Astyanax mexicanus: one gene and its partner. The protein of the gene in region 2 purifies or fractionates together with the protein of the main gene of each other region. This does not show direct contact. Links are inferred from orthologs where the notes say so. Each region holds a gene or a part of one and is shown on either strand. Other genes may lie near its edges. The genes, in order: FAST kinase domain-containing protein 5, mitochondrial; mapk4.

Region 1 (13,115 bases), on a different chromosome or scaffold from region 2:
ATATATTTTTTCTTTATCATTTTTACTTTGTTTATTTACGTATTCATTGTATTTAATAAAATGTATTGATATTACTATTATAATAATTGCTATTATTACTTTTGATAATTTATTTACAGTAGTGGTAGTAGTATTTATTTTGTGTGTGCATATGAATATGTGTGTATGCATACATGTGTATAAATTGATTTTGACAAAGTAATGTTTTCTTTTTTTGTTTGTTTGTTTTTCCCCTTTCTTTGAAAATAAATAAACAAATGATTGAAAGAAAGACAGAAAAAAGAAATTGTTATGAAAATATGACAAAGTGGTGTAAAGTAGTCATCAAGATCAGAAGAGGACATACAAAAAAACAATTATAGACCTTTTGACATCAGCAAATATAAAATAATCAAACAATTTTGACTGCCAGTGTATTAAAAAAAAAACAGAGAATAATATTTACTATAAATTACAAATTATTATACACCATAGGTTGGTCCCCTACATAAGAACTAAGCCTAAGACTTTGATCATAAAATAATAAATTCAAAAATAATTCACAATGCTGTGTAGTCCTATATATGTCCAAATATAACCTGAGGTATTGGGGGTGGGGCTGTGATCATCCAGCACCTTACTAATGCAGTCTTCACTGAATGCAATCAAATTAGCACAGCAATAAACCAAAATCTTGAACTTCTTTCCTGGAAATTAGAAACAGTTACTCTAACAAAATCCTGACAAATCTGTTTAAATACCCTTGATTTTAGAAAAAACAATGAATGAGCATGAGCCCTAAAACTTTTTCCCTATAAAATATGTGAGTTAATCTTTAAACTTTATTTTTAGAGTTCTTATACTGTATTAGGCATGTGCCATGCTATGATGGCACATTCACCTGATGGCCAGATTATGAGCAAAGAATTTAAAGGAATGAAAGAACAGAAGTGCGGGAATAGGGGAAGAGGACTTATAAAGACTTATAAAAACACAGAAGAATAGTCAGTGTTTTTGAAGCCAGTCATGGGATATTACTACCCTCCACAGGCAACAGGTGAAAATGTATACTGTACTGTGCTTTGTTTCCCAAGTGGACAGACTCCAGAACCACTAGTCTAAACAAAACCAGTGTAATGTCTATATTACATGCACTAATATTCCAAAAGTCATGAGATAGCAGTACGTAAATGGTTGCCTTAGGCTTTGCAACACCCAAACCTGAGATTCTTGAGAATGAACCTGAATAGTGGCTCATGACAGGTGACATGAATTATGGGAGTTCGAGCGAAGACTGACAGTAGTTACCCAATGGAAGGGACATTCCATTTCCCAAAGTGTTCAGGCATTTAACATTCATCCACAGTAGGCTTGCAGTAGTGGGTAATAATCGAGACCAGCAGTGTCTGTCTAAATCTGCCCTCACAAACAGAGAAGCAAATGGCAATAATCACATCCATATTTATTGAATAAGGCCCCAGACGCATTTCACAAAGGTCAGTGAAGCATTTTTTAGGCTTTCATAGGACATGGCAAAAGTTATGAAATACTATACTAGTTCTCGTCCTACGACATTTGGCATGAGATTGTATAACATCCATATCATCATTAATATTTGTCAAACAACAATCTGCAAAGACTTTTACACACTGATTTTAAAAAGAAATGAGAGAAGCTAACACAATATCATGGGCATCCTTTAATTTACATCTTTACATGTTGCCATTTTTCTTGAAGAACATCTGGTGGCCTATAAAGGCATATCAAAAATGTCCGATATCATAGTAAGTTTATCATCATTTTATAACAATGTTTTACACGTTATTTTAAATATTAGCACAATATTCTTCAAGAGATTCTCTTAAACAACATTAATTAATATTTTACACAAGAAATGAATTTAGACTTCAGTTGTGATATTCAAAATCAATGCATTGTTTGGTTGTTGGTAAATTATTTGTGTATTATTTTTCTGACCATTTTTACATGTTTACTGTGGTGATGCTATTTTAATGAGTGTTGCAAGACTGTATGACATAAAACCTGGCAACTTAGCCATTAATTTTACCAAATTATGTCTGCAGTTTAGCTAAGCCAAAGAACCGACCCGCTTTCTAGGACTCCCTCACATCATTTGGAATGCTTTTGACATGGGGAGGGTGCGAGGACATGCCTCCTCTGATACATGTGAAGTCATCCATCATCTCTTTTTGACTGCTGACTAAGCAGCAAACACGAGGTCATGACCTTTGTGTTGAGTCATAAGTATTGAAAATCTTGCAATGCAGGTAGGCACGTTTTTCAGCCTTCGAACACCGGAGTAACGGAAACCATTCCCAGTAAGGCAGCTCCACCACTCTATAACCAGCCAGTTCTAACTGTCTTCTCTTCATTGCATGGAGCCCAAGCAACTGTTGTGTCCTGTAACAATAGTGATTCCTGTTGGTCACCTGAACCGCAAGGCGAAGTACAGATTGTTTGGAATTGACCTGGTCGGGGGCAGGAGAAGAAGAAATTCTACGTTTCGTCATAGCATCAAGGAGGCAATCAGTTAAGTCAATTCCAACACCGAAGAGGACTTCTCTCTCCCTCTGTGGCTCAACCGGCCTCAGGGCTGGAGGCTGGATGAACTGCTGTGGTGTCTGCACTGGGATCTTTTTGGCACTAGTGAGCTGGGCCAGCAAGTCATCTGTCAGATTTACTCCAATGGGTCCTTCCCAAGGGTTTGATTCCTTATTTGGAGTAGATGTGCAATGAACTGTGGGCTCAGATATTACAGGTAAAGGTTGTTCATTAGCATCCAAGTGCACCTCAAGGTCAATAGAGCGCATGTGAGGTAAGATCATTCCCTTGCGAACAAAAGCTTCTCCTCCAAGCAGCCCCTGTAGCACCTCCTCGGCCTCTATAACTTCCGGCTTCTGACATATATCAAATTTGGCAAAGTCCCATAGCTGTTTTGTTACTTCTTCCCTAAACGCCTGGCTCAATCGTGGCCCGGTCCAGCCAGGCAACTCAATTCCTACCGTACCATCTAAAGTGAAAAAGTCCTTTCCCAGTTGCAGGTGGGCTCGGCTCGAGGCTAGGCTTATGAACTCGGGGCTTAAAGCTAAACTTAGTAGATCATTAGGATACTGACCTACAAAAGCCAAACCTAACAAAGCTGTAAGGAGATGCTCGGGAAATAACTGGAATTCAGCCTTTCGTTTGCGTAGGATATCAGTGATGCAAGGGTATAAGCTTGGACACTGCTTGGGAAGGATAGCCAGATTTCCAAAGGCCCACAATGCCTTGGCAGCATCTTTGCTTCTGCAGTCGGAGGCCAAAGGAGGCAGATGTTCTGCCACTGCCAGGAGAATACGGTCATCGCGGTAATGCAGAGCAGAGCAGGCCAAAACAACATGCATCAAGCCTGGGGCGTTCATCTGTGGTGCACGCTGTGGTACCACAGACCCCATTGCTTCTAACCAGGGCAGGTGGTCCAGGTGGCTGAAACGCAAGAGTTTTAGAACATTAACTAAGCCGAAGTTACTCATTTCCTTAACCAGGGTACAAGCATGGTCCACGATGCTACGCACCACATGCTCTGAAAGGGAAGCTTTAGATTTGAACAGCCCTAAGCAGACAGCAGCTACTTCTTCAGCCTCCAGCTTGTGTAAATGACGCATGAGATGGGACTGAAGGGGCTGAATAAGATGAGCAGGACATTTTCTGCCTTCTCCCAGTATGTAAATGAACTGAACCAACTCTGGAGGACCCATTTCACTGAAATGCTGGCAAATACAGTCATACAGGCTCTCAAGATAATGCGGAACGGACCGGCCAAGACACCGCCACAGGTCAGCGATGAGCAGCAACTGATGAAGGTCCATTTTACCAGCCCGCTGCCCAAACTCAGCCTCGTACAAACCTAGAATTTTGTTGGAGTAGGACAAGTCCAGTCTCACAAATGCCTGCAGGACCTCCAGCAGTTGCAGGTTGGTGAAGTTTGGCAGGCATTCCGCACTGTATCCTAAAAGCATGTTAAACTCATTATCTCCTCGGATTACCTGAGCTTGTTTGGGGGCAAGGCAGCCCAGTTGACTAAGGCAATGAGCTACATCTGAGGGTTCAATGTCTCCTTTAGCTGAATTGACTTTATGAAGCAGTAATAAAGCATCTTGGAAGTGGATTGCAGGCGGACGCCGGGATAGATCATGAGATATGTTGCGGTACTCGGGCCTGCATCTATGAAAGGCTCGTGGGTCTCCTTTAACATCAGCTGGGGTGTCTAATGGGTGAAATTCTTTCTTACTGAAAGCCAAGTCAAGTCTTCGATTCTTGATGTGCTGTGTGGAGCGGACAGGATTCCTCCTGATCGATGCCTTTGGAACAGGTTGAGAAGGGGCTTCCTCCTCCATCTGTGAACTGTCTGAAAGAGCAGAACGCTGTGTACTCCTTTTGTAGTACGCAGAGGGGTTGTATACCAGGGTGTTCCTCTTTGCGGCTGGTGGCTGTTGGACTGTCTCTGTTTCTTCCTCCTTCTCTTCTTTTCCATTTTCCCAATGTGAGCAGAGATGCTGTGCTTTATACACAACCCTGCATGGGTGGTGGGTGTACAGCCACAGTGCTGACACATGGCGTGACAGCGCCCTTGCAAACATCCACAGGATATACTGAAAAAAGATGAAGAACAAGATTAGTCTTAAATCTGAACCATAATGTTTTTTTTTTTCATGTATTATTAAGGCTATATCAATATATACCATACATACCAAGGAAATGTGTCATATCACCATTATTAAAACATGATGTAATATTTATTTATAGCTATATATACATATTATTTTAATTATTATTAAGCAAAACAAGGTCACAAGTCATATCATGACAATAAACATAAAAAATAAAAACATTGGGCTGATGTTTAGATGTTACTAGTATTTTTTTATTAGAATTTAATTGAAAAGTTACTTCATTTTAGTAATTCAGTTTAAAGTGTATTACATGTATTACACATTACAGTTGATTGTATTACTGCCAATCAAAACTCAACAATCAGTGTCTCCAAAAAGTATAAACGTTATATACGTAGCTTTGGCAGCGAGGGCAATGTGCCAAGTCCTGCTGGAAAATGAAATCTTACACTCCATAAAAGTTGTCAGCAGAGAGAAGCATGAAGTGCTGTAAACAAAACTGCACCGACTTTGGACTAAATATAACACAGTTGACCAACACCAGCAGATGACATGTCTTTTCAAACCATCACTGATCATCAGTAAATTTTACATTTCATTTGTAAATCAAGGGAGCAGATTCTGGAGGAAGAGTGGAGAGACACACAGTCCAAACTGCTTGAGGTCTAGTGTGAAGATTCCACAAATTGGAGAGTCAGGTCATCTGCTGGTGTTGGTCCACTGTGTTTTATTATCAAGTCCAAAGTTAGTGCAGAGTTTCCCAAAAAATCTTACAGCACTTCATGCTTCCCTCTGCTACTGACAACTTTTATGGAGAAGCAGATTTTATTTTCCAGCAGGACTTGGCACACTACCCACACTGCAAGTGCTAATTGAATTCCTGAAATAAAGTAACTTTTCAATGATTTTAAATTTTTTTTAGATTCACTAGTATATCATGCTGCACTAACAATATGACTTTAGTCTGTTAGTGTTTAACATATTTAGTGAAACAGAACATCCTCACTTATACATCATGTTTAATTACAGGCTGTTTAAATTGGATTACATACATATGCATCTTTAGCTAGCTAACTAGTTATCAGAGTCAGACACTGTCTTCTTTCATTTTGCTGCACTAAGCTGGCTGTTACCTGCCTCATACTCCTCCTCTCGTCCACTAAATATATATAAATATCATAAACCCTTCAGAACTTACACTGAACCACAGAGCGCTGAGTTTTATCCAGTTTAATCACTGACTGAGGTCAACCTGCGCCGGACAGCGTGTGTGAGCCTCCATATACAGAGCTAAGTGTCAGATCACGCGTACTACGGTGGCCGAGAAAGGACAAACAAAGCAAAGTCACTTCCGCATAACTGCGCTTCCTATTGACCAGCGTTTTAACCGAACTCTCCCGTCCACCTTAAGAATGCAGCGGTGTGCGTATTGCTGTAATATATTTAAGGTGGCACGGACGATCCATGTGTACAGGACATTATAATTATAATTATGTTATTCTGTATTATAGATGATCAATTTGAAAAATGTAATTGATGATTTATAATACAGTTTTTTTATAATAATACAATTTATTTATTATTTATTATATAAAAAATTATTTGACACCGATTTAAATTGACCCCAAAGAAAATGGAAGAGTTTAATATGTTACATGTAAAAAAAAGAAAAACAAATACAACAAAATGTTGCACTTAACTCATAATAAGCTGATAAAAGCTACCGGTACTAAAAATTTAATTCCGAATTGCGTAATAATCTATTATAAACATATTACCAATTATGTAATAAAGTACTACAAATTATCATTTGAAAATGTAATAATGTGATATAAGCTTTTGAAAATGATCAAATTCCAAACAATATAATTGGGACATTACAAATGATCAGCCTAAAAATAGGTAACATATTCTAAACAATGTAATCAGATATTACACATGATTATACATGTAGGATAAAATTACAATTTACCAGCAGTTGAATTGATCTTTTAAAGCATAAGTAATTAAAGTAATCATTGCATTTGTGGTAAGATGCTTTCTGTACTGTTATCCTCTCCTCACATTAATACTAAGTAAAAAATGTAATTAAATGACCTAATAACGCAAAAAAACATCTGGATTGGGTTCAGGTCTGGTAACTGTGGAGACCAGGTCATTTTTTGTTAAGTACATAAAACTCCACATGTGTTCATTCATAGTTTTGATGCCTTCAGTGAGAATCTACAATGTAAATAGTCATGAAAATAGAGAAAATGCATTAAATGAGAAGGTGTGTCCAAACTTTTGGCCTGTACTGTATATCTGATCCATCAAGTAGGTCAACCCCAAAAACTAAGTAGACCAATCAGCCATAATATTAAGACTATAAAGGGAATAACATTAATTATCTGGTTCTACTGGTACCTGTGTAAGTATGAGTGTGTATCTTAAGCAGTATTTTAGTATAGTAATTATACTGTAAGTATAATCAGACAGTGATGGCCAGATGACTTGGTCAGAACATTAAAGCAGGTCCTTTGTGTTCTTCTGTGGCAGGACAACCACTGTCCCAGCGACCGGGTCACGGGCCTAGGCCCATTGATGTGATCCATGTAGACCCCACCCCCCAACTTACAGGACTTAAAGAATCTGCTGCTAAAGTTTTGGGGCCAGAAACCACAGAACACCTTCAGAGAGTTTGTGGAGTTGAGTAGGGCTGTTCTGATAAGGTGGATCTGCAGAAAATGATGCATGACATTTTGAAAAATATTTAACCTTAACACGTTCCACTCCATCACAATCTTTCATATTATTTTTTGTTGAATTAGGTGATGTGAATTAAAAGTGTAGCTTTGGATGGCATTGATTATTAACACACCATATCTAGGTAATCTCTCAGTGATGATATTAATAATAATCCATCTATTCATCTTCTTGTCCGCTTCTTTCTGGCCAGTGTCTCAGTGGGTCCAGAGCCTACTCCTAAGGTACTTTCTGAACTGAGCACCATTTCATTACACACAACCATTTACTCACTTTAGCATGGCCAATTCACATGTATTCATGTGTATTTTTAGAAGTACACAGAAAAAAAACCCACATGCACCCATCAAACTTCTCGCAGGGCTTGAACCCGCAACCCCAGGCCCCTGTTTCACCCTTAAGGAAGACAGTACTGAAAAAAAAACATTCACAGTTGATTTATTTTTATTCACATCTTTATTATTTGAATTCATATTTGCTAAGATATGCTTTTTTCCCCAAGCGATTTCGAAGCATAAAAAATCAGAATGAAAACATTGGTGACAGTTTGTCCTCCCTTCGTATAATTCAAGAACTGTGAGACAGAGGGGGATAGAAGACACTGAAGGGCTCTCATGTATTTATCTTGATTGTAACATGTAATGGCCGATTTAAATTTTTTAAAAGATTTATATATTATATTATATTCCTATATCGATAAGTTTGAAAAATAAAAGCTGACATGTCAGTCTCATTAATTCACAAAAGTATTCACACGCAATAGCTTGGTATATTTGGATAGAATAGATATGTACACATAAATAACAATGATATTTACATGCAATCAACTGCCCCTTTGTCTCTACTAAGAACACAGCAGGACACAACAGAATTACATAGCAGCAAATGTGGCCAAAGACAGTAGAGGGGTGGTGTCCATCTAAAGCTTTGTAGGTTATGCCTCACTTAACACCCAATGTCATAAAGCTACAAAAAAATAAAGGATCAAAGGATCGGATAAATTCGGATAATCTCAGTTCAGTAATCTCAAAACGTCTCACGACACCGGTCGTGATGGCACAGGTAAGAATAAATGGAGTGTATGGGATTACAGCAGTTAAACCCCTCAGTTTGGAGGTTATCGCAGCAGTTATTAGAAATTGAGGTGCATGTACAGTTGTAGGGTCCTGTAACAACCTAAAATGTCCCATTATCTACACATATATACTCCTTTTTAGCAGTGAAAGACCCAAAAAATTAATTTGTAGATGATCTCATTGGCATAATGAGGTAAAATCAGGTCTTTCTCTGCTGATGTCTGTATGTGGTACACGTTCCAAGCATTGAGTTGACCCTTAGAAGTCGCAGATATCGTCATTAAAAACACTCTGTTTATTTATATGAATTTCTTAATAAACTTATTTCATAGAAACTGGATAATTCTTTTGAAAGTGCAGATTGTAAACATTTGTCACATTTTAACTTTTACTGAATTATGAAAATCTGCTTTTAGAAGATTCTACATAACTACTATCATATCCTATAAATTATTTTATTTGATTTATTTTACTAGCTTTTTTGTATCAGCTTGGCTACATTGTAGGGATTACCCTTAATGTAAAACCTTAAATAAAGGCTGACAGATCTATTGATTGATTGATTGATTAACTGGTCGACACTGGCTTTCTAATTTGGTTTATTTGAAAAGAACACTATATAAATATAAATGATAATAATGGCAAATCGTCATCAGTCTTATTCTGAACTTAGCCAATTTGTACTGAATAGCACAGCAAAATACTGGGGTAACTTGACTTCTAAGGGTTACTAAAGCACCTCTAGTGAACTCCCATCATATTTCTGACCAGTCAACACGAGACTTAAGATATTAGGCCTTCTATACACCTGCCTGTACAGTACAATAATCAGTCAAACCCACAATTGTCATATTGTAGGGCTTTTGATACTACTGTAAGCTTTGTGACAAAAGGTGTTATTGTTTTTTTGTTGTTTATTTGTCTTTTTCAATGCTACCACTTTTCAGTCTGTCTTTGTATCACCACCTGTCATAAATTTATCTAAACCTTTCACATTTTTTCATCAACCTTAACCCACACTACACAATCGCACTACCTAATCCCCCTCACTGACCAACCAACACGACTTCAGGCGCTTCAGCCTCTAGAACCCATTCAGATATGGCGACACAGCCTGCGTACACGGTGTACTTACTTCAAAACATCACTTCAAATCTACTGCATAATTATATTTTCTTTTGAAAGTCAAATATTCTAAAGTGATACTTTCAGAAAGTATACATTGACACATATTCTCTCTTCTTTTTTTTTTTTTTTCTTCTTTTTTTGGAAGAATGTAAGGTCCTGCTCAAATATAACAATATAACTAATTAATTAACTGCAAAGGAAAGGTGCTTTAGAAGCGTGTTCCTCTCCGCAAACTATTCCGATTGCCCTCTTAGCGTTTTTTCATTTCTTTTTTTTTTTTTTGGCTCAGCCGCTGACTCCGCTTTCTCCCACTAACTAGCAGCTTCATAAACCAAACATCTGTAAGCAGATGCTGTTCATTAACAACTTACAAACAACCTCTCTCTCTAAAAAGAAACATTGTCTGAGACCAAAGCAAAGTGCATTAACATATTAGTTTTTTTGTGTTTTTTGTTTGTTTGTTTGTATTTTTTCTGTAATACTTCTCTCTTCTCTCTTTTTAATATATTCTACGTCATTTTGGAAACATGGAACAAAAAAAAAAAAGGCAGAAAACAATGTTCTGGTCAGGACGTTCTGAGTCAAACGTCCATGTGGTAAGTCCTCCGCCACTGCTTTGGCTAATAACAGCAGGAGGGTTGAGGCACGCTCTTACGCAAATCACACACCATGCCTTGGTGTCCACTGGTGTCCCAATAATGACTGCAACTACAACAATCCACTGCAAGGGAACCCGAGACCGGCACCATTTTATAAATATCATTTTTGGTCCTGCTTCTATTCACTAAAAGAAACGATGGTATGGACAAGCACTTTAAATAAGTGAGCATCAAGTTTCCCCATAGCTTCAGCTTCTCATTAGAGTAAAAATTAAACAAACGAAAGTCTATTCAGGTATATAATTCAGATGTTCTGTCCTGTTTCTACTGTTTGTTGTGTTTTTGTGGGTTTTCAGAGTAGTGTGATAATTACACAGCACCCACAGTTTTGAGCTGTTTTTAAGCTTGGTTTGATGTGTGTTGAGATAAAAATTGGATATTTATTTCTTGGGTCTAACCAAGAAAATGTCAGTTTTTTTCTTTTTCATCGCAATTTGTGTACTGAATGGCATCAGGTAGCCGCTCTCCAGCTAAGAGGGCAACGTGGCTAAAAAGCTCCAACAGTCTAGCCGTAAATATGGATTATTATTAATGCCTGATCCCTTATCCCCTGAGTGTTAAATCCAGGTACTCCTCACTTCCCCTTGGCTACAGACTCAGGGCCAGCTCTTTCTTTTATCGCCCAACCAGCTTTACAAAAATCAAGATACAGAGCTTTTCTTCCTATGGGTCAGTCAATAAGGCCACACGAACATACTATTTACTGTTTATAATGAACTATCTTCACCCCTCAACCCTGACCTCTGCCTCACTCAGCAGGGCATCCTTGGACTGTCCTCAGAAGCTGTTGACATGACCTTTTTATTATTATATTATGTTTCAGGGGAGTTTGTACTTATTCGTACTTTTGTACAACTGTATAACTGTATTCGCTATTGTAATCGGTGCCCTAAGTGGGATTCTTGTTTCTTTTACTGCATCAAAGAGGTCACATTCGCCGTCAACTCCAGATTGAAGATCAAATCTCTGTCGACTCAATCCTCTCCAGGCGAGTCGGGACGGGCCATGGAGGTGCCAGCTGATGGAGCTTCTTCTCCTCTGCCGGCGGAGTCGGGGAAGTGAGCGAAATAGCCACAGACACTGGCGTCTGGGCTTCCAGACTTGGTGGCTGTGGGTGTGGCGGCGGCGGTGGAGAAGCCGGAGAGGGAGGCAAGGCCAAGGTGGGAGTGACCAGCTGTGAACCAAGCTGGTCCACACGCTCCTCCAGTGCCTGGTTCTTCTGCAGCATCTCCACATAGCTGAGCTGCAGCTGGGCCTGGTACTTGAGCACGCGATCTTTCTCGCCCTGCCACGTCTGGCGCTCCTGGGCGAAGCTGAGGGCTTGCCGCTCACGCTGCTGCCGTTCCAGGCGCAACTCGCCCTGAAGGAGCTCCAGCTGCCGCCGCAGGTCCCCAGCCTCCTGTCGCTGCGCTTTGGAGTCGTCGCTTTGCAGGCTGAGCAGTGGGTCTGCCCCTGGCAGTGAGGCGGGAGCAGGGAGAGGAGGCAGAGCAGGGAGGCCTGGTAGAGCAGGAAGGGCAGGGAGAGAGGCAGTGGGGGTCTCTGGGGGGCTCAGAGGGGAGAGGAGGCGCTCCCGACTCCGCGACAGCACCAGCTGACCCATTTCAGCCAGGCTGTGCTCAGGCGCCCGAGCATTAGCTGTATGGCTGAGCTCGCTCAGAGCTTTCTTCAGCCCGGCAACTTCCGTCTCGAAGGCGCTCAGCTTGTCTCTCAGCACAGACACCTGCAAAGAGCAAGAGAAGAGCAAGAGAGGGAGGGATAGGTGGACACAGTGAGTGAACAAGTTAGTTTTAAAGGGCCACAACAATCCATATTATTTCTATTGTAAAAGAAGAAGAATTTATCTTTAGAATGGAAATTTACACAGTTACCACATAAATTAAAGATATAAGCAACACTGTTCAAACCATCATTGACTATATGAACCAGCCTTACCCATCTACCTGGGTAAATTTTAGCTGGCCAGTTGGTGTACTTGCTATGATTGAGTGTTATTTAAATATAGCTTTTAAATAACAAAATATTGTACTGATACTGACACTCTTGACTGTCTGACTCTAAGCCTTGGAAAATGCTGTTTGTTCCCCTCACCTTACAATGCAGGTCAACGTAATCTGTGATAATGTCTTCTATTATATAACAAAGAATAGCTTCAGTGTGCCTTAAGACAGACCATGTAACAAAAATCCACTAATAGATATGGAAGTCATCTGATTGCACATAACTGCATTGAATATTGGACAATTCTATCCCAACCCTAGATTCCCTGCATGTGAGTATATGTATATGCATATACATGTATATATATTTCTTTTTTTAACACGTTTACTCTTTTTATTTTTTATTTGTAAGTAAGAAGTAAGATTGTTTTATTATTTGATCCCGGGCAGCCTTGTTTATAAGTTCTCTGAAACAATAAGCTTTGATAAATCAATAAAATATAAGTTAAAAAGAGAAAGATAAGACAGAGACTAAAGTGAGACTAAAGTTGAATCTGTACCTCTGCCAGCATGGCCTGTAGCTCGGCCTCGCAGCGCTCCAGCTCCAGTGTCTTAGTGCAGAAAGACTCCTTCAGGCTGAGCTCGGCCTCCTCCCTTTCCCTCAACTGGGCATTCAGCTCCTTCATCTGATTCCGCAGGGCCACCATCTCGCCCGCCCGCTGGGTCACCTCGCCCTGGCTGTCCCGAAGCTGCTGCTTGAGCAGGGAGATCTCACCTGCCTTTTGACATACCTGAAGAACAGGTAAAGGGTATGAATGTCACATGCCACATTGTATAGCAATGTTTTGGCTAATATTAAAACTCGCACATTTATGCACACAATCATACTTCAAACAAATGAGGCTGATATTACATTAC
Region 2 (13,115 bases):
AGCTGCACACTGCCTCCTTCACCTGTAAACGGAACAGCCAGACATCCCTCACAGCCTCAACAGTGACAGTACACCACTGCCTCTGCCATCATTGTGCTGTTACTTTTCGTTTTCTTTTCTTTTTATTAAAGTTTCTTGGTTTTTAATATAGGTTATGTTAAGCTGTGCAAGAATTTAAGCATTTGAATATAAGGAAAAATAGGAAACAAACTAGAAAATGGAAGAATATTTTATATATTCTTCTGCAGGACGTCCAGGGATGTTCTGTAATTTACAACAAAATATCAGCACGTTTCGTTGATGTGTTTTATTGGCCAAATATTGTGCCTTAGGGAGGAGTACCTTCACTTTCAGTATGTCTGTATGTGTTTAATGTTTTCCAAAAATGTTCTTCATCTAGGACTGGGCAAACATCACAAAACTTGAAGACATATTCAGAATGTGCATGATGTGTATTATGTTTTGCTTAACTTGCAATGGACAGTGCAAAAATAAGGCTACCTGATTTTTCTTTTTATGATATTTCATAAATTCCTATTAAACAAGGCTAATTAGACTATTTATGTAATATAACATGCAGTTATTTAATGTTCTTTAAGTGTTGATGTCTATGAAAAGTGTATTGTGACATAATTTATCAAGATGATGATGATGATGGTAACATTGGCTATGTTCAGACTGCAGGAAAATCAGATTTGTTTCTTAAATTTGTTAAATTTGTTTCAAGTGATCAGATTGGATTTGCATGTCAGGACATCACAAATGTGTCCGCATGTTGTGTTATCTGGTCGGCACCAGTTATTAATCTTTGGTGCTCTTTTTGGACCTCTGCACTTTCTACACTCTGGATTTAAAGAGGTTGTTGTTTGTTGTGTTGTGAGTGACACACAAGACGTGCCGATGCCCTGATTGAGACACATCTGCACAAATCCGATTGTAATCACATTTCAAACCACATACAAATGTGGATTGGATCTGATTTGCAAAAATCTGATTTTATAGGTTTTTAGATGTTCACACTATCAAAAATCAATCTGGATACCATCCATATTTGCTAAATAATCAGATTTGGGCTTGCAGTCCGAACATAGCCGAACATAATATTGTCATATTGCCCACCCATAACTGCATCAAATTAATTATCCTTTGCTTACCATAATCAATATTTACTATCTGTCATTAGGTATTCCTTACCATAATTGTAGATTTAAGGTCCAGAAACTGACCAGGAAACTGACTTTCTATAAAAATCTCTCTGAAAAATGATTAGACCTTAAATTTAGGTCATTTACCATTTAAAGATGATCCAAACTGTTTATCTTTAGTTTTAGAATCTGTGTCTCTACTGTAGTGTGTTTTGCTGCAAATTTAATCTAAAGCATAATAGGTCAAAATAAGCTTGTTAGAAGCCAGTCTTGTTGTTGTTTTTTTTTTTTTTTTGCACTGATAAAATCATTAAATAAACTTGTATTTAAGTGAAATCAGAAGGAAAAGTGTGCCAGTCATACTTGTCTGGACAGAAAAGTATTGGGGCATTGATCCTTGAGTAATCAAAGGATATTAAAATTTGTTTTATTTTAGTTGAAGTAACTGTTTCTACTGTCCGGGTAAGTTTATTATTATTTTTTTTATTATAGATTTTGGATTTGCATTGCTGTGAGGATTTGATTGCATTCACAGAAAAGACCGTTCATAAAGTCTGAAAGTTGAGTAATCACCACACCACCCCACTTCACCTCACCTCACCTCACCTATTCCCTCATTTTCCAACTCATCCCATTCTCAAAAGTATTGGATGGAGCACCATTATTCCAGAGAACCCAGGTCCACTGCTCCACAGCTCAGTGCTGTGCAGCTTCAAACACCAGTATCCCACATCGAGTATTAGGCATGGTGCCAATAAATAGGTTAATGTATATCTATTCTATAGAGGTCCTATTCTTTTGGAAGTATATCTCTACAAACACTAGACAAGCTCTGTATGTGTGTGCATTGAATGCCAGCTGTAAGTATGTATTAGAAGAGGTGTCCACAAATATTTGGACATATATTCTACTGTACGTCAGCCTGGAAATGTTCAAGTGTAGATAAAACTCAGGGCGTGGACCTCAGCACTTATCTGTCTAGTGGTGGCATTTTCAAGTGATATTGCCCATGAAAATATCTGAAAGGGGTTCCCCAGCAACAAAAGGCCTTTAAACCAGCCAAGTCGGTTAATCAAGAGTGCAGGTCGATTCATTAGAGAGCTGGTTCTGAGAATACAATCAGTGATTACAGGACTGTACCTCATTAAGAGTACTTTTAGAGTCTATTAGAACAGTGTTTTTTTTGTTGTTGTTGTTTTTTTTTACTTGTGGTCTGCATCGGTTCTGCCAATGGTCTGTTAGTGAAAAATGTAATTTGTTTCTTGTTTTAATGGGCAGATTACATGTGGGATTCCCCTCCTGTCCTACAAAGGTGTGGTATTTAAGGTGGGGGACATGTTCTGGACAGAGTCCAAATACGCCTGGGGTATTTAGATATGTCAGTTCCCCTTTATTTTCACGTCCTATTCATTTCTGGAATAAAAGGTTGTGTTTTACGATTTCTGACACCTGTATTTTGTACACTCTACTATATATGGAGTTTAAATTAGTTGAAATATATTTTAGGCTAAACAATCATTTATCTTAAAACTATATTTAAGGTATTTGGCAGTGTGTGTTTATACAGATTTAACCTTCAGGCTAATGTTGCTCTTGGAGGCATTTCATTCTGTAGTCGTCTTTTTACAGGCAACGTTGTTTCAACGTCATATGTTCAATCTTTAATAAACCATAGCTCAAAAAAATGAGAAAATCCTATGATTAACAAAGTGTTAACAATAAACTCACATCCCTGTACTACGTTAAAATTCAACGTTAGCACAACCATTGAACATAAAATGTTGATTCAATGTTAAAATTCAACATTAGCACTACTGTTAAACATTAAATGTTGATTCAATGTTGTTAACAGACATTACTTTAGTCATATTTCAACCACATTTCAACGTTTAAGGTCGGTTGTGTGCCAGCAGGGTTAAAGCTCATCTAGACCCCTTGTGCAGTGTACCACCCAGATGGGGCCTTCACTGACATCCATATGTGGGATGCATGGAACTATATGTGCGTGTTCTCTAGGTGAAAACAAATCTGCAACTTCTACAGCAGAGCATTTGATTCCAAACTACTTAAAATTACCCTTTTGTTCTATTTTTAATATTTAGAAAACCTGTTATTAGAGGGATGGCCAGCAGGGGGCACACGTATGCACTGAAGTGGTTCATATATTCCAAATCAGTGGAAAAAAAACAACTATAATCAACTTATTTTTTTTTTTGTTTTGTTTTTGCATTTTGGGTAAACGTTACACTGTCACTGTTACTGTAAATTTTTCAGCTGTATACATACAAGAAAGTCTATGAATAATATTACTAAGCATTATGCACATTATGTTGTAAAAATTACATTCTAAAGATTAATTAATACAGTAGACCACAAACACTATACACTATACTCTTACAGAATGCACATTTGAATAATGAAAATACCTTTACAGTGTGAAATATCTACAGTATTCACAGTGTTTTTTGTTGCATGTGTAATCAAAGTAAATAATAATCTTTAGGATTTTGTATACTTTACTGTGATGATCTGGGGTTGATGCTGCAGTTGGTCAGGTCTAGGTTCAGCAACAGTATGTGCTGAAAGAATGAGGTCAGCTGACTATCTAAATATACTGAACATAGACTAGGTTATTCCATCAATGGATTTTGGAATTCTTCCCTGATGGCACGGCCATATTCCAAGATGAAAATGTCAGGATCCATGGGGCTGGAATTGTAAAAGGGTGATTCAGGAAGCATGAGATCATCATTTTCTTTACAAATGGATTGAGAGAGTTCACCACAGAATCCAGACCTTTTTCAGACCTGAAAATTTTTGGGATGTGCTGGATGGAGAAGCGCTGCTTTGTGCAGTGGTCAGACTCTACCATCATCAATGCTGCTGCAAGATCTTGGTGAAAAATTAATGCAACACTGGATTGAAGTAAATCTTGAGACATTGCAGAAGCTTATCGAAACAATGCCACAGTGAATGTGTGCTGCAATCAATGCTAAAGGCAGTTCAACCAAATATTAGAGTGTATGACCTTGTTTTTTAGGTGGCAACTTTTTTTTTTTGGGCCAAGCAGTGTATAACTTTGGTTTGTCACCTCTTTCTGCTTCAGTGTGAAACAGCACTGTAGTAAATACAATTAATAAGTTAAAACCCCAATTCCCTCAAGTCCTTTCCTGAAAAAGTGTTTTAGAGATTACCTTAACCGTTCTATTTATACTAACAATCTGATCCTTATCACAACGTCTTTGATTGGCACATGAGGTCCATCCATATCCTGCTTTAGGATCCCTTGCAGTTGCAGATGCAGTTTGCCCTCTATCTGTGAAAGCAGGAAAAATATATATGTAATTGATTCTTCAGTGAAAGAAGACAGCCCCTATCTTGTTACTTCCCACACTGGCAAACTGTGTATAGATTCCCTGTCAGATTTTAACGCAGTTCCTTTAAAAGTGGAAAAGTCTATCCCCACAGGTCACTCCCACAGAGAGCTGACTCAGGTGTTTGGAGAGAGGAAATTCAGACCGGCTCCTCATTTATTTATTTCTCCTTGGCGACCCACTGATTCTGCTGCGCAGTAACCTGACCCCCTGTGATGATGAGGCACTGGGAGGCAAGCCAAACACTCTGCCTCTCAAGCTGGACTGTCCAAGGACTCTGCATCCTTGCATCAGAGCACAGATGAGACTAAACTTGATGCTCTTGTTTCTCCACCCTTTTCCACTTTTGACAAAAATGGGTTATCAATTAAAATCAAATATCAGACCAGTTGTGGGCAATTCTTTTTTTAAAGGGGCCACATGATGGTACAGATCCCTCCCTCAGATAATGCATGATGCTCAACCAGCAGATTGAATTGGTGGATCTTCTACCGATCTAGTGGTTGAAGCTCTGGTGAGTGTTGACGAGTGAGGGGTGCTGCCAGGGTGATTCTACTCGGGTTTTCTTATTGTGACATCCCAATAAGGGAGCCATCCAAACGGCTCATAGAAGCAAATGATTCCTGACAATCAATGATTCCTGATACAATCTCAAAGTAGCTCTACACTACATTGGTCAAATTCTAAGGCCCTGATATTTAAAACAAGGCACTGAGAACTTTGAAAGTGCACAAGTAGTTTATTAAAACATTGTTTATACACACAGTGCCTTCAGGTAGTTCTCCAGGTGCCATCTTGAAGTTAAGTCTTGATAAATTGATTGAAAAGCATTTTTTTCCAATCTTCTTTTTCATTTCTGCCCCATCAGAATCTGAACTCCAGGAAAAAAGAAATATATACATTTTACAATTTGATTTGAATGAAACCATTAAACTATTGAACCAAGAAACTAGTTTCATTTTTTTGTTTTCAAATTTCTTCTTTTTTATTTCAGTCCCATCAGGATCATAATTCCAGGGTAATATACATTTTTAGACTTTTGCATTTTTTTCCTCTTGTAAAAAAGTAGGTTGGATTATATCAGATTTTTTTTTTTTACAAAATTCAAAAACTGTAAAACCTGAAAACTGAATAGAAATCTTTTTTGTGTTTTATGTATATCTAACGGTGAGGAACAGAAATTAAAAATTTGATCATTGGACGAATAATTGAAAACCCAAAATCTTCTTTAATACATAAAATCTGGCATCATCATGAAAACCTGGTTATATATATATATATATATATATATATATATATATATATATATATATATATTAGACATGAAAAAGAAAAAAATAGCTTTTTCTTTCTTCTTTTTCATGTCTACCCCAACAGGATACATTTTAATACATTGTCAGACTTTTCCAATTTTTCCTTTTATAAAATAGTAGGTTGGATTATACCATCAGATTTTATTACAAAATGTGAAAAAAAATGTGTTAAATCAGAAAACTGAATAGAAACGTTTTTTTCATGTATATCTGATCGTGAAAAACAGAAATGAAAAAAACTTGCACATTGGAAAATAATTGAAAACCTAATTTTTTCTGTAATATATAAAATGTAAAACATTAACTATTGAAATTTTACGCCCAATTTTGTATTTAAACGTTAGACTGACCTCTTTTCCACTGTATCTATATCTCATGTCTGTGTTTTAGACAGTGTTTGAAGTCTCAGGAGAGCTCCTCACTGTCAGAAACAGAGGCTTCGTATGCAAATTAGCGCCAGGGGCCGGCAGCCAATCAGGGGCGCGTCTGGGGCGCAGTTCTGGCAGTGCGCGGCCGCGATTGGCTGCTGCTTGGCCCGGTGTGGAGCTGTGGAGCTGCTGGGCTGCTAGGCTCCGCTCTGTGTAGAGATAGGGGGAGTGCTTGGGGGGCTTTTGTTCTTCAGTGAGTGGGGCAAAAAAGAAGAGGGCAGGTGTGGAAATAGGTGCTAGCGAGATATCAAGAAGAGTTGAGGGGCAAAAGGCGTTACGTTTTTATTGGGTTGGGTTTTATTGGTGAGTTTTGTGGAAGAGAGAAAGTACAGAGAATACAGAGGAGGAGGAGAAAAGGAGAGGGGGAACAAAAGTCTGGAGGGAGAAACAATAAAGGAGAAGAGGCTGATCTGCTGCTGCTGCTGCTGCTGTTCTCCTCCGCCTCCTCCAGTCTGATCACACACAGCCAGGCCAGCAGATCTGATCTGACCCGCTGATCTGATGCAGATCTGATGAATGATGAAGCCGCGCTGATACGGAGCTTCACTGCCACTAAAGGAGGCAAACAAATGAAAGAAGATCAGCGGAAGAGATGTGGAGCTAAACCTGCAGATCTCCCCCATCAGCAGCGCGTGAAGGAGCAGAGGAGAAGCCCCCCAGACTACACGGTAAGCCGGAGCATCGCCCCCCTTTGTAGCTAGCTGTACTTTCCGATGGAGCGATAGATATACAGCTATAGCTCGGAGCAGCAGCAGCAGGAGGAGGATAGCAGGATTTTAATCTCAGTTAAGCTCCTTTCTTCACTTCGTTCTCACTCCTCTAAGCGTGAAACCCGGTGGTCTTAATCTCATACAGTAGTGGGCTCAGTTTAAGGGGGCACACAGGCTCTACAAGGCACCATCAGCCACACACGAAGGACCTAGGATTATAATTAATATTGAAAAAGATTTGTGCACAGCACAACAGTTCAGCCATTCAGTCAGTGTAGCCTACTACTTTATTATAATTCCAGAAGAAATTAAAGAAAAAAAATGCAGGGGGAAATAATAAGACAAAGCAAAATGCAAATACTAACACAAAAAGCTTTTAGACGAGGGCATCAAATAACATGTACAAAGAATTTATAATAAATACAGTATCTTCCCAAAGTCTAATAAATCTCTGGCTGTAGAATGGACAGTGCTAAAAGCAGAACCCTGACCAATCACAAAGCTAACAAATATTAGCCCCGCCCTCTCTCACTTCTAACCTGAGCAACCCTAACCAGCCAGCTGGTGAGCAAACTAGCAAACTGTCTCTGAATGATAAATGGCTTGTTTTAATGATGTTTCACTTTTTTATTTCATAATATATAAATATGCATTAATTTATCAAAAAGGATTCATATTTATATAACAGGTCTTTTGTTTTCACAGCATTTCAATTTTATACCAACATATATAACAATATATTAATCAAATTTGTTTCTGAATTAACACATTGTTACAAACAATAAGTAAAGTTAATCTTTACTTTAAAGTATTTCTATACATTTTATATAGTTTTATGTAATATATTTTGCCATGTCTGCAGTGTTACCGGGTTAATTTGAATAATTATCTGAAGGGGTTAAAAAATGATACTTTTCGATAATTTAGAGCAAGCTAGTCGACCAGCAAGACCAAAAAAGTAAATGCATCATACACTAATCTGATCAAAAGCTGGTTAATGAGCGATCACAAAGGGTAACAAACATAGCTCCACCCACTCTTTGAGCCTGAGCAACCCTAACCATTCAGCTGGTTAGCTAACTAGCAAGCTTTCCAAATTTTTTCTAAGGGCGGATGTGGTCCCGGTGCGCCTTCTCCAAGGGTAAGTTTGGAAAAGTGTAAAAGCTGCTTTGTAGCAGCTAAAATCAGTGGTCTGGGGCTTGCTTCAAGTGGCTGTGCCAGGTTATAAGCTAAATGGATAATAACCGTCTCCTAATCGAATGGTCACTGGTTAAGAGGAGCTTCATGGTGGAATGTCATACACGCCTAAAGCGCCTTTCTTTGCCGCTCAAGTATATTTATCTAATATACTAAATATAATAAAATAATAATAAAAGTCAACCTCCAGCTAAAGCATTTATTAAACTACTCACAGAAAACGTATAGGATTATGTATTCAATCCACGATTCGGAAAAAAGTTCTCGTGTGTGAAAACAAACCAGCGATAATGAGCTCCTCTCCAAACAATCCTAGAATCAATTCTGGGAGCAGACTTATTTGTTCGGGTAAAGTGTGAAATGCGCTATTGTGTTATGTGTATGTTGCCATGGCAGTATAAACAAACTTTTGTTTACCAGTGATAGACAGCTGTCAGTCACGCATGTTCATTAGAACATAATAACCACACCTACTGAGTTATCAGGGAGGTCTGATAAGTGCAATTTGTCGATATTTGAGTGTTGAGTATTTTCTAAAAGTCACAAAATGTACAGCTTTTATCAAAAAGCACCACATGATGCAGCTCTTAAGTTACACTGAGCTGTTTTCACTCAGTACTCCAATTACACTCAGCTAACAAGTTGTTGTTTTTATTCCTTTAAAATGAATTCTGTTAAATCCGTTTTAAAATCAGGATTGTGTGTGAACACAGCAATAAGAACAGCTCCCCTATCCAGGAGATCAGATCAGATGAGCTGTAAGGCTGCTATCAGTGAGTCTGAGTGCTGTGTGCAGTGCTGGGTGCTGTTTCTGCAGTGTTGGTAGGTCCATGGCTGAACTGCAGCAGCAGCAGCTCAGCTAGTCAGCGCCATAGCACTATGCATTATTTATAAAGTTGGGCTGAAAGGCTGAAGGGAATGCAGGCAGGGCTGTGTTGGCGCTTCGCACAGACACTTCGCTCGCGCTGGGATGCCTAATTTGGAAGCCCATTGCCGCCAGGTACAAAATAAAGCATGCCCTCTCCCCCCCCTCCTCCTCTGTTCTCCTCTGTGTCTCTGTTTCTGACCGCTAACAGACTGTCTGAATGATAAATGGCTTGTTTTAATGATGTTTCACTTTTTTATTCTCAAAAAGGGTTAATATTTATATAACAGGCCTTTTGTGTTCGCAGCGTAGATGTTTCAATTTCATATAAACACTGTGTAGCAATGCATTTATCAAATACATATTCTGAATTAACACATTACTACAAATAGTAAGTAAAGTTAATCTTCTCTTTAAAAGTACTTTCTGTTCATTTGATACAGTTTTTAATGTGTTTTGCCATGTTGTGCCTAATTAAGTTGAATAATTATTTGAAGGGGTTAAATAACACTTTTTGATCATTTGAAGCAAGCTAGTCCACAAGCATGACCGAAAAAATTAAATGCATCATACATTTTGCTGATCAAAAACTGGTTAATCAGGTTGCTAACCAGCCCAAGGTATGTTTTCACCTGGATTACCAAATTTTTCAGCCATCTTGACTATCAAAACCAGCTACAAGCAAAAGCTTTTTAAAATTCAGTTCTTATGTTTGAGACACAATTCAATTTGTTTACGTTTTTGATGTAATAAGTAAATGTAAATGTTTTTTTCTAAAGCCAATTATTAAAGAGACAAAGAAAAAAAAGGTTAGAAAGGAAGTCTTTGTTTGAGACAAGTGGTGTTTCTTAATACCAATAATATAATATCTATCTATCTATCTATCTATCTATCTATCTATCTATCTATCTATCTATCTATCTATCTATCTATCTATCTATCTATCTATCTATCTATCTTTTGAGATAGTGTGTTATACAGAACAGTATAAACAATCTTTGTTTGTATCAAATTAAGTACATTTTGACAAATGTACTACCCATTTCTTCCCTGATTTCTTAAAGCAGAGCGAGGAGAAACTAAAAGCTTAATTATTGTGGGTCTGAACAGCATCTTTTGCCACTGTGTCTGTATGAGTCTGGTATATACAAGTGGATCAGACTCAGCAGTGATGCTGGAGTTTTTAAACACTGTGTTCTTTCAGACACTTCTACCTAGCAGCGACAGCGCCACCATTGAAACAAAAGCTCATCTGTTGCTGCACAGTATGTATGCAAAAGTATGCGTAAGTATAAGTATGCATAGAAAAAAAGGACTCCAGAAGTCACCAACTGATGCATCCTCGTTTTTTGGGGTGAAGCACAAATTGGGCAACCGGAAACAATTGGCAGATTGTATTGTAATGCAAAGAAAAAAACACACAAGACTGCATATTGAGACATGGCGTAAAAGTCTAAAGAAATCAATGGCTGTCTGAAACGTGAAGTATCTAGCTAAATAATGGCAGTGTGGACAGTTTACAGCTAGACATGAACGTTTAGCTGTGTATTATTATCTAATGATATTTTAACTCAGTACAATAGAAGGTTAGATGACTAGCCTTATTAGATTAGATTAGTTAGATTAATAACTTCGATTCAGACATGACTGGGTTTCTTCCCGTCTCAGAATACTGTCTGAGTAAGCAGCATTTCTTACATTTCAGACACTATTTAGCCATTGTTTTAAATATGAAGTCAAATTGTGGAGAAAAAAAATCTTAACAAAGATGGCCATTATGTCAAGTGTGTCTCAAAGTGTGTCTCAAACTCAGTTGGTTTGTAGCACCTGACAACTGACAGGTTCTGGCTTCTGAGAATAGCACAGCTGTCTGTGCAGAGCTGTGTATTGGCAAGAACATGGCAAAACTATATGTATCACATTACAGGACATACGATTTAATGTATTGGGATATATTACACTACTTTGTACAAGATGGCTCAACAGGCTGGTGAGGAAAGCTGGTTCTGTGCTGGGATTAAAGTTGGAGTCCTTTAACACCACTGGCAGATAGGAAAGCCCTCAGCAAGCTGCTGAACATCATGGACAATGTTAACCACCCTCTGCACAGCACCATCACCAGGCAAAGGAGCTCATTCAGCGGCAGACTGTTGTCCCAGTCCTACTCCATGGACAGACTGAGGAGGTCTTTTGTCCCTCAGGCCATAAGACTGTTCATCTATCTATCTGACATGCTGATTTTTAAATCACATTTTATGAAAACACAGAGTAAGAGTTAGGGTAATAAAAAACACACCATACACAGAATGCATCAAATCTGATTAAAAGAAATTTGACTTATTATCAAGTGAGAACAGTGTGATCTGAAGACACTGCTGTCTAAAATTCTGAACCACTGTCTGACACCAATCCAATTACAATCATTAGAGTATTTTTGAGAATTTATAGAATATTGCAAAATGTAGTACTTTGATATTTGAAATGTTCTATCCCTAATAAGCAGCAAGTAATCAAGGCATACTATTTTGAAGAAACTGACTATAGAAGGCAATTCCTGACAGATAGAGAAGAACAGAATTGCCAGTTTTTTCCTCTCCACCTGTTGGGAATTCGCAAAGTGGAAATCTGAAGTGCACACAGGCTAATGCCTTTCAACAGTGAAGATCTGCTTACATAACAGCATTTTGGCTGAAGGCTTAACACTCGTAGATTGCAATCTTGTCATTGAAGATGAGTTGCTTTGGCCAGGGTGCCCCAGAGACACTTATCAGGGGGCCTTTCATAAAAGTGAATCATAGGGCGGCTCGTTCGCTAACTGTATTTCTAAGATAACGTCAGATTAACGAAACATTAGGTACAGTATATGTGCCAATTGATGTAACAACAAGTGGTATGATGTCATGATTATCTTTACTGTAAACATACCTACTCTATATATATTACTGATTAGTCTCTAATGGTCTTTCTCTCTATTTTCTGTCTCTCTCTTAGGAAAGGAATGCATGCCAATGCTCACAGATAGCTGCATACGGAGCATGGAGGTGAAAGGCCAGCTCAGACACAGAGACGGCAAGTAGAGGCTCTTAGATTACACCCTGATTACATCAGGTTTATCCCCTGATCAGTTCAGTGCCAGCAGCCCAGCATCAAGGAGGCAGCAAGTGCAGTGCAAGGCTATTATAGTGCAAACAGTAGGGGGGAAATGTTATATGGACATAAAATGTGATGTGTGATCACGCTGTTGGATATCTGAATATCAATGTGAATAATTATACTAAATAAGGGATTTTTTTCCAATATTGAACATACTACAAATTTAGTGTTTTTTTTTTGCTGAATATATTTTGCTGTGGTGGATTATCACTGCAAAATGATTGTTGCCACTGCTTCAGAATTGTATCCAATTCTGCAGAAAGCTTTCAATTTTATTGAAACAGTGGATGCAGAAGACAAGGTAAGGTATTTCATATGTGTCTCAAAGTCAAAGTCAAAGTGTTTTTTATTGTCATTTCAGCTATATACAGAGTACACAGTGAAACGAAACAACGTTCCTCCAGGGACCATGGTGCACATAAACACAGTGTATACAGAACAATAGTGCAACAGTACAAAAGTGCAGACAGACAATACAACACAATACAGAAAAAGAATAATAAATAACAAGACAGTGTGCAAATTATGCAGTGTGCAAAAAAGACCAGTGAGGTAGTAATTACCTCTATTACACAGTGTGCAATAGAGTCCAGTGAGGTAGTAGGGTTTTTAGTGCTTTCCATTTTCTGGGGTAAGTGGGGTAAGAGTGTGTGTGCATGTACAGAAAAACCATCAGTTCAGTCTCTGCAGTTGAGGAGTCTGATGGCTTGGGGGTAGAAGCTGTTGCAGAATCTGGTCGTGCTGGACCGGATGCTGCGGGATGCTTCCCGAAGGCAGGAGGGAGAACAGTTTGTGTGAGGGATGGGTGGGGTCATTCACAATGCTAGTTGCTTTGCAAATGCTGCGGGTGGTGTAGATGTCCTTGATGGAGGGGAGAGAGACGCCAATGATCCTCTCAGCTGTCCTCACAATACACTGGAGGGTCTTGCG

Evidence for each region.
Region 1: the proteins of mapk4 (region 2) and FAST kinase domain-containing protein 5, mitochondrial purify together in Homo sapiens (affinity purification with mass spectrometry; 3 studies listed by BioGRID and IntAct, with this or other methods). This does not show direct contact. The link is inferred for Astyanax mexicanus from reciprocal best matches to the Homo sapiens genes MAPK4 and FASTKD5.

The regions. Positions count from the first base shown.
Region 1 is NC_064408.1:8,562,447-8,575,561, reverse strand, and holds FAST kinase domain-containing protein 5, mitochondrial, read right to left. Parts: upstream 5,955-13,115; 5' UTR 5,851-5,954; intron 4,632-5,850; 5' UTR 4,620-4,631; coding exon 2,220-4,619; 3' UTR 1,421-2,219; downstream 1-1,420. Other genes in the region: leucine zipper putative tumor suppressor 3, read right to left, coding at 11,219-11,980, 12,758-12,988. UniProt on the Homo sapiens protein: Plays an important role in the processing of non-canonical mitochondrial mRNA precursors.
Region 2 is NC_064419.1:38,520,376-38,533,490, forward strand, and holds the start of mapk4 (mitogen-activated protein kinase 4), read left to right. Parts: upstream 1-6,384; 5' UTR 6,385-6,928; intron 6,929-12,023; exon of another isoform or gene 12,024-12,101; intron 12,102-13,115. UniProt on the Homo sapiens protein: Atypical MAPK protein. Phosphorylates microtubule-associated protein 2 (MAP2) and MAPKAPK5.